4 linked regions of the Sus scrofa genome follow. The protein of the gene in region 2 purifies or fractionates together with the protein of the main gene of each other region. This does not show direct contact. Links are inferred from orthologs where the notes say so. Each region holds a gene or a part of one and is shown on either strand. Other genes may lie near its edges.

What was found. The genes of interacting proteins can lie anywhere in the genome.
Region 1: the proteins of ISG15 (region 2) and HSPB1 purify together in Homo sapiens (affinity purification with mass spectrometry; 3 studies listed by BioGRID, with this or other methods). This does not show direct contact. The link is inferred for Sus scrofa from reciprocal best matches to the Homo sapiens genes ISG15 and HSPB1.
Region 3: the proteins of ISG15 (region 2) and ubiquitin-conjugating enzyme E2 N-like purify together in Homo sapiens (affinity purification with western blotting; 3 studies listed by BioGRID, with this or other methods). This does not show direct contact. The link is inferred for Sus scrofa from reciprocal best matches to the Homo sapiens genes ISG15 and UBE2N.
Region 4: the proteins of ISG15 (region 2) and FLNB purify together in Homo sapiens (affinity purification with mass spectrometry; 3 studies listed by BioGRID and IntAct, with this or other methods). This does not show direct contact. The link is inferred for Sus scrofa from reciprocal best matches to the Homo sapiens genes ISG15 and FLNB.

The regions. Positions count from the first base shown.
Region 1 is NC_010445.4:10,037,455-10,041,215, reverse strand, and holds HSPB1 (heat shock protein beta-1), read left to right. Parts: upstream 1-1,774; coding exon 1,775-2,144; intron 2,145-2,801; coding exon 2,802-2,865; intron 2,866-2,952; coding exon 2,953-3,142; downstream 3,143-3,761. UniProt on the Homo sapiens protein: Small heat shock protein which functions as a molecular chaperone probably maintaining denatured proteins in a folding-competent state. Plays a role in stress resistance and actin organization.
Region 2 is NC_010448.4:63,361,622-63,364,933, reverse strand, and holds ISG15 (ubiquitin-like protein ISG15), read right to left. Parts: upstream 1,734-3,312; 5' UTR 1,658-1,733; coding exon 1,655-1,657; intron 1,253-1,654; coding exon 752-1,252; 3' UTR 723-751; downstream 1-722. Other genes in the region: uncharacterized protein LOC110261384, read left to right, coding at 1-171.
Region 3 is NC_010443.5:26,023,931-26,028,726, reverse strand, and holds the start of ubiquitin-conjugating enzyme E2 N-like, read right to left. Parts: upstream 2,920-4,796; 5' UTR 2,548-2,919; intron 1-2,547. UniProt on the Homo sapiens protein: The UBE2V1-UBE2N and UBE2V2-UBE2N heterodimers catalyze the synthesis of non-canonical 'Lys-63'-linked polyubiquitin chains. This type of polyubiquitination does not lead to protein degradation by the proteasome.
Region 4 is NC_010455.5:39,787,573-39,792,177, reverse strand, and holds the start of FLNB (filamin-B), read right to left. Parts: upstream 2,920-4,605; 5' UTR 2,281-2,919; coding exon 1,989-2,280; intron 1-1,988. UniProt on the Homo sapiens protein: Connects cell membrane constituents to the actin cytoskeleton. May promote orthogonal branching of actin filaments and links actin filaments to membrane glycoproteins. Anchors various transmembrane proteins to the actin cytoskeleton.

The sequences.
Region 1 (3,761 bases), on a different chromosome or scaffold from region 2:
TTGGGAGGCAGCGAGCAGCTCCCCATGGAGACCCAGCATGCTCCCAACATGGTCCAGCATTCTGTCTGCCTTCTACCCTTGCCTCATGAGAGCTCCAGGTGCCCAGAGGCCTTTCCAGAGGTGACCTTGGATTTGTGGCCCAACCTTAGCTCTTTCCTGATGGGGAGCAGGTGGGTGAGCAAGAAAACTATCTGGCAGTGCTCTCTCTCGAAGAGGAAACTGTGGTGGAAACTGAGGCTCAGGAAGGGCATGAGGCTGGTGTCCCCCAGCTTGTTGAGAGGCCTGGAATCTGGCTTCCAGCCACTCAGGAATCCTGAGCAGAGCAAGGCCCCCCATGGAACTGGCAGGAGTACAATCTCAGCCCAGCCCCTGGAGAGAGCGGGTCTCAAAAGGAGAGGAAGGGCTCCAAGGTGGGAGCCCCACAAGGGTAAGAGCCCTGAACACGAGAGGGGCAAGAATCTTACTCTGTCGTGTCTCAGAGGAGACGGTGGACCAGGCACTTAATCCCTCTGGACCTCGGTTTCCTCATCTGAAAAGGAGGGATAACAGGATGCAAGTCAGAGAAGGCAGGCTGGACTGGAGTCAGGGCAATGAGAAAGAGAGAACGCCAAGGTTGTGGCCAGACCCTACGGGAGGTGGGAGTGGAGGCCTGGATCCCACAGGTGCTCACCCAGGAGGTGGGGTCAAGGAGCAGGCCTCAGGCTCCCAGCAAGTGTGCAGGAATTGCACTGCCTAGAGCCCCTCTCCCTCTGTGCTGTGGGAATGCTAAACAAAAGGGCTCTGAGGTCATAATCTGTAAAAAGGGAAAGGAGGGGCCTTGGCCCAAGCCAAAGCCCAGACTAGATTCAAGGCCGCTGCATCTCAGGTTCCCTGTCCCCAGCTCAAGGCAAAGTGGATACAATGGGGAGTTTTGACAATAACCTCCCTCCTGACCCCCTTTCAACACTAGGCCTCAGGGTTTCTGGTCTGGGTCTCCCCTACTAGGGGGTCCGGGGGACATCGCCCAAACGTCCACATGCTGCTGCCTCTGAGCTCCGCTTCCTCCGTCTGTGCCCTGCAACTCCAGGTGGCTGACAGTAACGGTCACCCACCAGGCCCTGGACTAAAACCTTCACTCGCATTAAGCTGCCGAATCCTCACACCAACTCAGGGACGGAAGCATTGTCATCATCATCACCCCCATTTTCCCGGTGGCGAAACTGAGGCACAAAGACTCTCACTTGTACAAGTTCATCCAGTGAGTGGCAGGACCAGGATGTGAACTCACACAGTCTGGACTCTCAGGCCCACACTCCTCACCATGTTGCTTCTTAAGCCATTATTTCACAGACACCCTGTGGTCCATCTCCCTGCTCTGCCAGTCCCTGCTGTGTGGCCCCGAGCAGCGCGACCACTCCCTCGGCTTTGTCCTCTTGCACAAAAAGCCAGGACTGTCCACAGGCTGCGGCCCAGCGCTTTAGCGCCGAAATCTGCCAGTGTTAGGCAGCGGGCACTGCACCAGCATCGGGGCTACAGTCATTTGTTTTCTCAAACAGGAGAAGGTTCCAGATGTGGGCAGGGCCTCCCTCGCCCCGCCCCGCGCCCCGGTATGCAGTTGGGGGAATGCAGGGGGAGGGGCTGCCCCCAGCCAGTCATTGCCATTAATAGAGACCTGAAACACCGCCTGCTAAAAATACCCGGCTGGCCCATTATAAAAGCGCTGCGGGCTCGGCCCACCGACACTAACTCCCCTTCTCCCAGCCGCAGCCGGACGCGTCCAGCCAGCGCAGCCAGCATGACTGAGCGCCGTGTGCCTTTCTCGCTCCTGCGGAGCCCCAGCTGGGACCCTTTCCGCGACTGGTACCCGGCCCACAGCCGCCTCTTCGACCAGGCCTTCGGGCTGCCCCGGCTGCCCGAGGAGTGGTCGCAGTGGCTGAGCCACAGCGGCTGGCCGGGCTACGTGCGCCCGCTGCCCCCGCCCGCCATCGAGGGCCCCGCCGCAGTGGCCGCGCCCGCCTACAGCCGCCTGCTCAGCAGGCAGCTCAGCAGCGGCGTCTCGGAGATCCAGCAGACTGCCGACCGCTGGCGCGTCTCCCTGGACGTCAACCACTTCGCCCCCGAGGAGCTGACGGTCAAGACCAAGGACGGCGTGGTGGAGATCACGGGTGAGCCCCCGGGGACCGGGACGCGCCCACCCCCCGCCCCTCCCGCGCTGCCTCTCGCGCTCTTTCCGGGGAGGAGCCCTGGAAAATGGAAACTTAGCCGAGGACGGGGCCAGAGCCCGGGGAGCCGGCCTGGCCTCTTCGCCCTGCCCCTGGCCTGTGCCTGCTTCCCTGGACTTTGGGGGGGGTGCTCCTAAGTCCTAAGGGATCTTTTGGCCCTAAAAGCTCTCCAGTCAGGGAAGAAACGCCCCCTTCCAGCGGAGACGCCCTCAGCCCCAACGCCATCCGCGAGGGACCAGGTCTCCCCGCGCCGCGCCGCCCCCCCCCGGCCCCCGGCCCCCGGCCTGCAGTTGGTGTGGCAAGGGCGACCCCCTCCCCCGACACGCGCACGCACACGCACGCACTTCCTCCCCATCCCTAGTCCAGGTCCTCGGAGGGGGCGTGTGTGCGTGCCCATGGCTGCTGCCCCACGCCCCAGCCCCAGACTCCTGGAACCGAACTTTCCAGAAGCTTCTGAGGTCCCGGGACAGGTCTGGGGTACCCACATCCCTTAGTCCTCTCCTGGCAAGCGTTCTGGCCACCGGGTGGGGCTCGGCTGGCTGTGGGCCAGCGGGAGCGCCGGCCCCTTCAGGCCTCCTCTGACCTCCCTCCCCCACCCAGGCAAGCACGAGGAGCGGCAGGATGAGCACGGCTTCATTTCCCGGTGTTTCACTCGAAAATACACGTGAGTCCTGGCTCCGGGTGGGGTGGGGGGTGGGGAGGGCCCAGGGACGCACCGTGGGTCACTCCTGTCCTGCCTCTCCCTGTCCAGGCTGCCCCCCGGTGTGGACCCCACCCAGGTCTCCTCCTCCCTGTCCCCTGAGGGCACGCTCAGCGTGGAGGCCCCGCTGCCCAAGCCAGCCACCCAGTCGGCAGAGATCACCATCCCTGTCACTTTCGAGGCGCGGGCCCAGCTTGGGGGCACAGAAGCTGGAAAGTCGGAAAAGCCCGGAACCAAGTAAAGGCCTTCGCCCTGCTGCTCACCGCCCCCCGCCCAAACCCGCACCAGCCATCCCCACCTGCCAACTCTCTGTGCTCTTTTGATACGTCTACCTTCTGTTTTTCTCGAATAAAGTTCAAAGCAACTGCCCGCCACTGTCTCAGACCCTGGTGTGCTTGTGGAGGCTCAGGCGTCACTCCTGGTTCACGCACTCATCACGTTTGCCGAGGGCCTCCTGTGTGCCAAGCCCTGTGCTGGCCCCTGTGCGTGCTGCGTCCATCACAGGGCACAGCCCTGCCCTCCAGTCCCTTGTTGAGGGAGAGACTGTTTATGCGGCAGTTAAAGCCCCCGGGGCCAGTGTGGGAGCAGGGACGCCAGGAGAGGCACCCGGCCGAGGCACTCAGGACACCTGGGCAGGGGGCGAGGGAGGGGGACGTCCCGGCAGCTCAGGGTTCCTTCCTGACCGCATCATAACCTCCTCATCTCCACGGAGAAGAGCAGGACCGCAAAGACGGGATGGGAGGGGTGGCCACCCATCTGAGGCGGTGGCCTCCGTTCCCCCAGGCCTGTGCAGGCAGGATGGGGCCTTGACTGGCCTGGCAGGAACAGTCACACCCACCTTGGCCCTTGCTTTTGTCTGT
Region 2 (3,312 bases):
GTGGAGGTGCAGGAAGTGAGGCTGGAGCCAGGAGCACCCCCGCCGATGCACCCTCACCTGCATATCTACACATATATCTGTCACAGGCAGGTCTGCTCCCCCTCCCCCACTCAGCTGTGGACCCCCACAGACCAGGAAGGAGGCTTCTGGGTCTTCAGCCAAATGCCCTGAAGAGCCCGAAAGCAGAGGTCCTCAGAGCCATGCCCAGAGAGGTCCACGTCCTGTGCTCCTGCCTCCCCCATGTCCAGGGCTGACTCAGCCTGGCTCCTGTGGGGCTCACGGGGGAGGCTGGCTTCCCTCACAGCTCACCCAGACAGGCCACAGGGGCTCATGCCCCCACTGCTTCCAGGGGCACTCACCTGGCCAGGCCTTCTCCTCCCTGTGCTATCTGCTGACCCAGATGTGGGGCTGCAGAGCTGACCACGGCACAGCAGGAAGACAAGGATGGGCTCTAGCGGCTGTGCCTCTTTTTATTTCTCTAGAAGGTAATTTCCCAAAGATGTGGGGACACATCTTCGATTTCTCTGGTGTGTGTGGGGCACCATTTTGATCCCACAAGGCTTGTCCCTTAACTTGGCAACTCTAGTCTGGTGACCACCCAGCAACCTCTGGGTCCCCTCATCCCACTCCCTCCTCCATCTCACCTCCTGTCTCACCAAAATGGGTGCAGAATGGAGGACTGACACCGAGATGGTGCTGGCCAGAGAAGAATGGACGCTTTGTTACACTCAATTTTGCCACAGCTTTATTACTAGCACTCGGTGAGGTGCTCCCCTGGCCCTGTCCCGCCCCCCCGCAGGCGCAGATTCATATACACGGTGCACATAGGCTTGAGGTCATACTCCCCCAGCTGGTGCTCATCCTCCATGGGCTTCCCCTCGAAAGTCAGCCAGAACTGGTCAGCTTGCACGCCCTCCTGCTGACACACCTGCTGCTTGAGCTCAGCCACTGTCTGCGTCAGCCAGACCTCATAGGCGTTGCTGCGACCCTTGTCGTTCCTCACCAGGATGCTCAGTGGGTCTCTGAAGCTTTGCACCATCAACAGGACTGTGCTGCCTGGGCCCAGGCCCTGGTTGACCAGGGGCACCCCATCCTGAAGCACATTGCCGGCTGGGTGAGCCAGACGCTGCTGGAAGGCGGGCACACCGATCTCCCGGGCGATCTGCTGCTTCAGGTCCGATGCCATCATGCAGTCCCTCAAGGGCACCAGGATCTCCTTGCCTCCCAGCATCTTCACCTTCAGTTCCCTACCCTGTGGGCGTCACACAGGCTCAGAGACCCTGTCACCAGTCCCAGGGCCACCACATAGTGGGGCAAAAGCTCCTAGAGCCCAGGAGTGCTGCTCCCTCCTCCCTACCCTCCCCACCCTCCAGGAGGGGGACCCCGGGCACTGGAGAGGGCAAGGGGGCATTTCTAGAATGGCCACCACCCACAACCATCATGTCACCTCCCTTCACCAGCTAAGATGCCTCCCTGTGCCGACCCCAAGGGATCTCAGCCCTCTGAGGACACAGACCCTGACGTCAGGAGGAGCCCCATCCCTCCCCTCATGCTTAGGAACCTGGCGGGCCCTGAGCAGCTCTGTCTGCCTGGTACACATAGGTGTTCTGCCCCTGGGAGAGGCCACCTGCCCCACCTGTCAAACCCCCCTCACCATGGCCGTGGGCTTTGGCGACAGGTCCTCTGTGAGCTCTGCTTCGCTGCCTCTGTGCGCTCTGCGTCGCTGCCGCTCAGCTCGCCGCTGCTCTTCAGCCGTGGCGGCTCAGCCCTTTAAAAAGCCTGAGCAGCCGCGTCAGAGGGCGGAGTCCAGGAGCCAACCACCGCGGGAGCCGAAATCGAAATCGGCTTCAGTTTCGGTTTCCTTTTCCCAAGGCAGGCTCCGGAGTGCATGGCAGGAAAAAACAAATAGCAATGACAGGACATTGAGGAAGGGGGTACAGAGTCTCTCCAGCTGCCAGCCAGGCACACGACAGCATCCCCGCCTCCAGAGGTACGTGTTCAGAAACCCCCGGCACGCCCAGTGCCTCACATCCTTTTCACGATGCACAAATAGCATCATAATACCGAGAGCTAACAATTGGCAACTTTCACTTTCCATTTACCAGTTTGCAAAATTAGGAACCTTGGAAATCATTGCCGGGGTTAATTCAGAAATAGCAAAACATAGTGACAGTCCAACCAAGCCAGAGATAACAACCATTGGTTTATGACAATATTTATTCAGGTTTTTTATTCAGATTTTTTAAATGAAAGAGATGTGTCTTTTATTTTCCATGAAAATGAACTCACGAATACTATTGGCAAGGTAAAAAAACTATCTACAAAATGGGAGAAAATATTTGCAAGTCATGTGTCAGTTAAGGGCCTAGTATCCATAATACATAAGGAACGTTTACAACTCAACAACAAAAAGATAAACAACTCATTTAAAAGTTGGGCAAAAGACTTCACAGACAGTTTAAAATAGAAAATACGTAAATGGCCAACAACCACATGAAAAGATGCTCAACATCACTGGCCATCAAGGAAATGCACATCAAAACCACAGCGAGATACCATGTCACACCCACTAGCATGACAATAATAATAACAACGATTAAAAAGAGAACAGTAACAAGTGCTGGTGAAGGTGTGGAGACATTGGAATCCTCATACATTGCTGATGGGAATGAGAAGTGGTGCAGCCACTGTGGAAAACAGTCTAGTCAATCCTCAAAATGTTAAACAGAATTTTCATGTGATTCAGCAATTGCATTTCTGGGCACAGGCCCTAGAGACCCGAAGACAGGTGTTCAAACAAATGCTTGCACAGAAATGTTAACAGCAACTCCGTTCACAGTAGAGGAGTCATAGAAATGGGGTGGGGGGAGGAACCAAATCCATCAGCAGGTGGAGGCCTCACCAAAGTATGGCCCATCCTGGAGTTCCCGTCGTGGTGCAGTGGTTAACGAATCCGACTAGGAACCATGAGGTTGCGGGTTCGGTCCCTGCCCTTGCTCAGTGGGTTAACGATCCAGCGTTGCTGTGAGCTGTGGTGTAGGTTGCAAACGTGGCTCGGATCCTGTGTTGCTGTGGCTCTGGCCTAGGCCGGTCGACTAGCCTGGGAACCTCCATGTGCCGCGAGAGCGGCCAGAGAAATGGCAAAAAGACAAAAAAAAAAAAAAACCAAAAAAACAAAAACAAAGTATGGCCCATCCTTAGGGTGGAACACTCTTCAGCCATAAAAACGAGTGAAGCACTGCCACAGGCTACACTGTGAGGGAACCTTGAAAATATGGTGCTCAGTGAAAGAAGATAGACACAGAAGGTCAC
Region 3 (4,796 bases), on a different chromosome or scaffold from region 2:
GGAGGTGACATTCATGGTTCTTCAACTCTTTAGGTCCTTAATTTTGGAGGGAAAACTACTTTTACTATTTCCAGAGTACAACCTGCAAAACGAAACAATCTTTTGATAGTTCAAAATGAAAAGAAAAAAGTGATGACTCTTTTTAAACCTTTTTTGACATGGACATTTTTATGCTACACACACAACGTGGTACAGGTTTAGAAAAAGAACAAAGTAAGCCAAAATCGGATACATTCCTTTTTAAATGTAATCTGAAGGGAGTAATAGAAATGTCTTTGAAGGCTGAAGCAAAATGTAACCTACTTGAGTGAAAAATCAATAAGCTATCTTTCAGGAAAATTGTACTCAACAATTGTCTAATGGTCTTTTAAAGGAAGTAAATAAACAAATGGAAATGAGGAGTTTAGGAGACAGCCGCCTTATTTTTTTTAATCCTAACAATCTAGTTCTGTGTGAGACTTTTTTTTTTTTTTGCCCCACTGCCATTTCTTCCTCTTCCTTTGCTATCAGAACCCTGATTTGATTCTGGGATCCTGGGGCCACCTGTGAAAGGCAGACCAGATCCTGAAGCCAAGGCAAGCATCATGATAGGTAATCATGGTAATCTCAATTCCTTCACCAGGGCCTGATTTGGTCCTTGAGACTTAAGGGGAGATTTACATAGGAGGAGGGCCTTGGTCTAAAAATAGACTGCCCCACATTCAAAATAAATTCAAGGAAGGAATTATTCTTTGTTTTTTTTGGATGTTGTGAGTCTGCATGTGATGCCCAGGGCTACTACAGCCATCTTGCCACCATGAGGCAAGACATCAGGCAGGACTAATATTGAGGATAGTAGAATGAAAGATGGAAAACATCTGGGCTGATGACATTTTCAAATAACAATAGCCCTGCAATTCTCTCTATTTTAATGAGATAATACCTTTCCTACTGTTGAAAGCCTTTTAAGCCATGCTTGTTACTCATAGATAAAAGCATCTCAATGGCCACAACTTCAGAGCCTAATAAGGAAATGCATTGCCATGTTTAAAAATGTTCTGATAAACTGACTTAAAATAAGTAGTCAGTTCTGGGATTCATTGAAGATATTATCAGTGATGTAACTAAGGAAACATTTTCTCTTTTGGAACCAAATTGAAGCAGTGAAGAAAATAAACCATTAACTAGGAACTGCCAAACAACAGTCCCTAGGCCAAATCCCACTTGCAGACTGTTATCGTAAATCCTGTAAGACAAAACCAATCTGTACTTTTTTTTTTTGTTCTTCCTAGGGCTGCGCTCGCAGCATATGGAGGTTCCCAGGCTAGGGGTTGAATCAGAGCTACAGCTGCTGGTTTACACCACAGCCACAGCAATGTCAGATCTGTGCCGTGTCTGAGACCTACACCACAGCTCATGGCAACGCCGAATCCTTAACCCACAGAGCAAGGCCAGGGATCCTCATGGATCCTAGTCAGGTTTGTTAACTGCCAAGTCACAACGGGAACTCCTATATTTTTTAATAGTTGAAAAAAAACATCAAATGAATAAGAATATTTCATGACACATGAAAAGTATATGAATTAGAATTTTGGTCTCTAGAAAGGAAGTTGTTAGAGCATAGCCATGCCCATTTGCCTGTGGCGGCTACATGAGAGCTGAGTAATTACAGTAGAGAATATATGATCTTCAAATGATCTTCAAAGCCTAAAATATTTACTCTCCGCTCCTTAAAGAAAAGTTTTGCTGACCATTGCTACAGACCAATGGACTTACCTCAAATTGCATGGTAGAATTACTCAAGGAACTTTCAGAAATACTGATACCAGGACCCATCTAGACCAATTAAATAGAAATAGAGCCAGTGAATCTATTACAAAGGCAAGGCTGAAAGCCATTTCTCTACGTAATGTGAGTGCATACAATACAAGTGAGCTTCAACCTGGACAGATTTAATAGGTTTAGAGAAAACGAAATAAATCTAGCTTCGAACCATCATTTATAACCCCAAATTCTCTGCCATCAGCCTAAGTTTCACCTGTCACCAATTCAATTCACAAAGCACAAAGCGGTGTTTGCAACCAGAATGTTAGAAACAACAGTGTAAACAGTACATCCTTGTTTAAATGTTGACCCAACTGGCACACATGGGTGGTACTGGTTGTTAGCACTCCAAGACAGAGTGGGAGTGGAATTGAAGAAAAACAAACAGAGGAAAGAACTAGACTGTTAACAGCTAAAAAGTATTTGGGGAAACAATTATAGCCCAAAAGGATTAACGGAAGGGAATAATATAGCAACAATGACCAGAATGTAGACGTTTTCACTAAATTCTACACTGGATCAGAAAATATCACTCAGGTATCATTTTATAAAAAGGAAAAGGGGTGCAGTTCCTGGTCTGGCCTGGAAGGAGCTTGAAAGTCATTCCTCCATTCTAAAAACAAGAAAAAGCCGAACAAACTGAAAAATCACCCACTCTTAAATCCATGAGAGAACGAAGGTCTCAGGGCAAATCTCGGGCCCTCACATTAGAGAGACAGGGAGACACAGAAAATCACAACTTACCAGAGCGGAAACCCACAAGCAGAAACCTCCTCAGGAACCAGTGCCGCAGTCAGGAAAGCTGAACTGTATTTGACAGGTGGCTGGAGCCGCAGAGTAGACAAATCGGAGAATTAAATATTCCAGAGGAATCCACACTTTGTGAGCTTTGCCTCTAGGAGCCCTACTAGACTCTCACAGTGGAGATCTGAGAGGAAAATCTTCTTGTGTTTCCTGAAGAAGGAGCCGAAGAGGAACCACCTTGAAATGTGCCAGAGCACTCACTTCTTAACAAGGTCCGCCTGCAGGAGAAGCTATTTTCTAGGGCCTAACCTGCTGGGATTTTATCTGTGCCTAACTGACCTAGGGGAAGGGAAATGCCCAGCCCCAGCTGGCTCTATTCTTACACTGGGGAAGCGAAATACGCAACTCCTGCTCCTCTAGGCATCTTGTTCCAATTAAGGGGGGGGAGTGGGGCAAAAAAAAAAAAAAACCCACAACAACAGAGAAGCACGTGTGACGTTCACAGCCCAGCAGCACAGGCTCATCAAAAGACTGACACCTAATCATAAAACTATAAAACATTTTCCCTTCCCCCACACCTAACCACCACATCATTAAAGGCCTATTTACTGCAGTTCCTTTTACTCAGTACAAGTCCATCTTTCAAGAAAAACTTGTAAGGCATACTAAAAGGCAAAAGACAGACACCATTTGAAGAGCCAGAGCAATGTTCAATCCCTGGCCCAGGAACATCCACATGCTGTAGGTGTGACCAAATGCATGCATATATAAATAAAGACATACGTAAATTAAAAATAAAGGCATGGAGAAAGATATGCCATGCTAACACCAGTCAAAAAAATTCAGGAGTAACTCTACTAATTTTAGACAGAGCAGACTTCAGAGCAATAAAAGTTATCAGAGATATAGAGGAGCATTACATAATAATAAAGTGGAATAGATTCAGATATGGCAAGAATGTTGTTAGAATTATTACACCAGGAATGTAAAATAAATATGATGAATATGCAAAGGGCTAATGGAAAAAATAGACAACATGCAAGAACAGATGGGCAATGTCTGCAGAGAGATGGAAATTCTTAGAAAGTACCAAAAAGAAATGCTGGAACCAAAACACTGTAACAGAAATAAAAAAATGCATTTGATGGGCTAATCAGTAGGCTGGACACAGCTGAGGAAAGAATTTCTGAGCTTAAGGAAATGTTAATAGAAACTTCCAAAACAGAGATGCAAAGAGGGAAAAAAAAAATGGAAAAAAAACCCAAAAGATAATATCTAAGAACTGTGAGACAACTATAAAAAAGTGTTACATATGTATAATGGGAATACCAGGAAGAGAAAGTAATAGGAGAAATATTTGAAGCAATAAGGACAGCAATTTTCTTTAAATTAATGTAAAATGCTAATGTCAGAGACATCAATCATGAATAGTTCCAAAAAACACTACACCTAGGCATATCATATTCAAACTACAGAAGATCAAAAATAAAGAAAAATCTCGAAAGAAGCCAGAGGAGAGGAAAAAAGCCTTACTTATAGTAGAGCAAAGATGAAAATTACATGCAACTTCTCAGAAACCATGGAAGTGGAGCAGAGTGAAATTTAAAGTGTTCAGAAGGGGAAAAAAAATCAACCTGAATTCTGTACCCTACAAAATTATTCTTCAAAAGTGAAAGATAAATTTAGACTTTCTCATACAAACAAAAACTGAGAGAATTTGTTTCCAAAAGACATACCTTGAAAGAAATGTTCAAAGAGATTCTTCAGAGAGAAGGAAAATGATACAGGTCAGAAACCTGAATAAGAAACGAAGAGGGGAGTTCCCGTTGTGGCTCAGTGGTTAACGAATCCGACTGGGAACCATGAGGTTGCGGGTTCGGTCCCTGCCCTTGCTCAGTGGGTTGACGATCCGGCATTGCCGTGAGCTGTGGTGTGGGTTGCAGATGCGGCTCGGATCCCGTGTTGCTGTGGCTCTGGCGTAGGCCGGTGGCTATAGCTCCGATTTGACCCCTAGCCTGGGAACCTCCATATGCCGCGGGTGCGGCCCAAGAAATAGCAACAACAACAACAACAAAAAGACAAAAAAAAAGAAATGAAGAGGATTAGAGAAGGAATAAGTGGAAGTAAAATAAAACCTCCTCATTTTTCCTAATTAATTTACCAGATAACAGTTTGTTCAAAATAATAATAGCAAAAATATGTTTGATTATAGTTTATGTTTAAGTGAAATGAATGAAGCAATGACCACA
Region 4 (4,605 bases), on a different chromosome or scaffold from region 2:
AGGAGAAAATAAAATAAAACAATATAAATTGTGGTGGGAAGAGGTCCATAGCAAGAAGCTGCCAACAATCCACAGGCCACAACTGGGGAAGGGGAGGCTAACCCTGGAATGTCAGGAAAAGGGAAGAAGCTATGGCCTGGGTGGGTTCAGGAATGAAAATCACAAGGATCAAGTAGAAACATGTAAGGGACCAGACAAACTCTAGAATGAGACCCTCAATTTCAGGGCACCAAAGGGAAGCCATGCGGGAGGCAGCTGCAGACTCTGTCAACAGTTGGTAAAGTGGGCAGTCCAGGATTTTCTGGTGCTGTGGTCTGATGTTTGTTTTGGTTTTTAAGATTTCTTGCCATGCATGTTTGGATACTCCTGGTTTACTTTAAGTTTCTTTGTTCAGTTAATTAAATAAATACACATTTTTCAGGCAAAGAACAAGGGATCCAAGTTGAGCCCTGTAGCCCTGGAGATTCCTCAGTGGGAAAGCTGGTTTCTGAAAAGGAAAGAATTCCAGGAGAAATCTGAGGTTCCCCCTTCCCTCATTACAGAAGATGGGCCCCCAAAAGAAGAGAGCATGCCACACAGCTTCCTTGTGCAGGGAAGCCACCCTCCAGAGGGAGGCTGACGGGGCGGTGGCTGCTGCCTGGGCCCAGGAAGCAGCCCCACCTGCCAGGACAGGTGTGGGGGAGGGTGGGGAGAGGATGAGGAGACTCAGCCCAGAGGGAACCCCTTTTAGGCTGGAAAGTCCCAGCAGTCACACCCAATGCCCCTCCTTCCTGTCAGGGGGTTAATAGAAGGCCTGGCCTCCTCAAGAAGGGACCCTAGACCCAGGCCTGGGCCAGCTGCTCAATGGCAAGAGGCTCACCTGGCAGAACATGCATACAATGTATGTGCACACCACGCTGTGCACAGACTGCACATATACTCACAAACGCACACTACACACCCCTGACTCCTACCCTTACAACCCACACCCTCAGCAGCCTTATGACCCTGCGGGAAGCCCTCCACTAGCCCTGGTCCTAGCGGGGACCTCACCCTCATCACTCCTCCCCAGCCTTGGGGGGAGAGGAACCCAACGCCAACTCCCTCCCTCCTCTCAGGAAGACCCTGGTGTGGGGAGGGCGGGGAGAGGAAGGCCAAGTCTCCTTTAATTGTCACCCGCTTCCTTCAATTCTCGGCTAGACCCTCTCTACTTCCATAGCCCTGGGCAAGCCCGTTAACCCTCTGGACCCTCTTGTCTTACACGCCCCAACTCACGGGGTGTGTAAGGACCGAGTTAACAGGAGGCTGTTGGCACACAGCGCGCACTAGCTCCCTACAAGCGGCCGCTACCGCCGCCGACTCTCAATAGTATCTTCAGAGGCGAGAGCTGGCTCAGCTCGCAGCGCGGGGCCAGAGCGAGCGCGAATGCCACACCCCCGGGCTCCCCTTCCGGAGACGGCGAGGGAGGGTCCCAGGCCCCCGTCTCCACCTAGGCGGCAGGGCCCCAGTTTCGGAGCACACTCCCTCCCCAAGGCCTCCGCACCTGGCCTCCGAGCCAACGCCCATCAGGCGACCGCCCAGCGCATCGGCCTGGGCGCAGCTGGGCGAGCGCTCCAGGGAGCGTCTGACTAGGGCCCCACCCCCGGGGACTGCCGACCAGAGGTTTCCAGTCCCCCAGCTTCCGCAGGGGCACCCCAAGTGCCACAGCCCGCACTCCCCCCAAGCGGCCCCAACATGAACCCTCAACCCATCGCCCGCCAAAGGCGCACGGCCCCGGCGCAAGGCAAGGAACTATCACTGTAAGACAGCACCCCAGGGAACGGCATGCAGGAGGGTGCCTAGGTCCCCTTTGTCCTCACCCCCACCCACCCCGGCCTCTGTGCCCACATCCAGCCGGTGGCTGCTGGACGCGGCGGAGGCGCGCGACAGGGAGCCTCAGTCTCCTCAGGGGCGCACGCGCGGGGGCGCGAGAAGTACACGCCGGCGCACGGCTCGGCCAGGGCACTCACCGATGGACACGAGCTTGATGTTCTCACGGTCCAGGAACTCGAGCGCCACGGACACGTTCTCAAGCTGCATCTGGCGGAAGGTGGGCCGCTGGTGGTACTTGCGGTACATGTGCTTCTGGCTAAGCACCTCCAGCAGCGCGATGAGCCGAAGCCCGTCGCTCAAGTCGGTCTGCAGGTTTCCGATGCGTTTGTTCACGCACTTGAGGTGCTCGTTGCACCAACGCGTGAACGTGTTCTGCTGGATCTTCTTCCAAGGCGCGTCCTCCGCCAGATCCTTCTCGGTTACCGGCATCTTGGCGGCGGGGAGAGCGCTATGAGCAGTGAGCTGCCGGGGACTGGCGTCGGGAGGCCCAAGGGCCGGGGGAGCGAAAACCAAAGCGGAGCGGGAGCGGGGCTCGAACTCGCTGCTACCAAAGCCGCGGCCGGGACTGCTCTGCGCCCGCCTGCCCCTGGCCGCGCGAGGCGCCTGGCCCCGCGCCTGCGCACTGAGACGACCCGCCCCTGAAGCTCCGCCCCGTCCCGACCCTCTGGCGGGAGTTCCCGGGTCACGCTTGCCCCCTGCAGCTCCAAATGAGCACTGCGCCCTGCGAGCTGCAAGGCGTCCGGGACCGGCGCTCGGTGTTCATTGCCTCTGCAGAAGAAAGCTAGGCAGGAGATGTCCGGCTACTCAAGAGGAAGGTCACCAGGTCCCATAGTGAGGGCACTTGCAGAAGTAGGGATCTGGGCTGGACGGAATGGACAGGGACGACGGCGTAGATCACAGGGAATGGAGTTGGTGCAGAAGGTACTTTTTCCATCTAGGTTCAATAAGATTCCATAAGGATTTTTATTGAGTTCCTGCTGTGCCAGGCACTATGTTAGGTCCTGGAGGACATCGTGAAAGTAATGGACATTTTACTTTTCATATTAATTAAACTCGTATGAATTGTCAGTCACAGTATTTATTGAGTGCCTACTGCGTGCTAACCTTCCTAGAGCTTGCCAACCAATGATAAGACAAACTTATAACTTAACCTAGACTTCATAGACTAATATATGAGAAAAATATAAAACCATCACAAAAAGCTTAATGGCAGTGATACAAATGAATGATAATTTACTGTGTGTATTAGTTTCCTAATGCTCCTGTAACAAATTACCAAAGCTCTGTTTTTAAAAAACAAAAACACACATTGTTATCTTGCTTTTTTTTAGTTTAGAGTCCCTCACTTGTCTCACTGAGCTAAAATCCAGGTATTGGCAGGATGCATTTCTTTCTGGAGGCTCAAGGGAAGAATCCATTCCCTTGCCCTTTCCAACTTCTGGAAGCTTCCTGAATTTCTTGGCTATGTCCTCTTCCTCCATCTTCAAAACCAGCCACATCAGGCTGAGTTTTTCTACACTGTTATCTCTCCCATTCTCCATAGTCACATCTTCCTCTAATTATCTTAAGGATCCATCTGGGAAGAGGCATTGGGCAGAATGAATGTCAAGGGCTTCCAGCTGTGGAAGAAGCCAGCAGATCTGTGGTTGGGATGCTCTATAACAGGTCATTTGTAAACAAGGTAAAGTGCTTTCTTCTGACAGATTGCCTCACTCACTGGAAATGCTCAAAACAGCCTTGAGGGAGAGAAGGTATTATTACCTGGCCCTGACCCTAGCCCATTGTTGAGATCAATAATTTTTTGAAGGCTCATTCCCCTCTTGAGTGATTAAGTGAAGAGATTTGCTGGAGGTCAGTTGGTAAGGACTGGATAAAGCTGAACTTGAACCTAGGTCTAACTCCAAAGTATGTACTACACCTAAAAGCCCCCATGCTCTTCCCAGCTTGGGCCTTGCCTTTGTGAGTAGCAGATTCACCAGTAGGCAGTGTTGGTAATGTTACCTACCCCGTGCCCAAGGGTTCTTGTTCCTCATGCTTTCTTCCACCCAAAGGCACTCATCAAAATGTATCAGCCAGGGCCTCATTCCCAAAGGGACATCCTCTCTGCTATTAGGTGAGACTGGGACTAATGCGATCACTTCAGCTCACTCAGCAGCTGATAATGCACCAAAGTTCTTTTTTTGGGGGGGGGGGCACACCCGCAGCATATGGAGGTTCCCAGGCTAGGGGTCTAATTGGAGCTGTAGCCGCCAGCCTATGCCAGAGCCACAGCACCTCCGCTCCGAGCCACGTCTGCGACCTACACCACAACTTACAGTAATGCCGGATCCTTAACCCACTGAGCAAGGCCAGGGATCAAACCCAAATCCTCATGGATGCTAGTGGGATTTGTTAACTGCTGAGCCATGATGGGAACTCCTAAAGTTCTCCTTTCTTATGAGATATTTCTGTTTTCACCAGACCTTGACACGAATAACTAAATTTAAGTTCTGCATGTAAATTAATATCCAGTCCACTTCACTCTGAGTGAGACATCCTTGTCTTAGGATGTGTCTGGTGAAACTCTCCATCCAATTAGAAGACACTTAAGAGTTCACTAGAAAGCAGTTTATGCGGAGTGACCAGGACTCAGCAACCATGATGGAGCATGATGGAGGAGGGTAGCCTTAGTGACAAGGTCTTTAAGTGGCCCTTTATCAATATTTGATAAAAGATGAGGGCCAAACACCTCAAGGCATGCATTTTTGCAGGGAG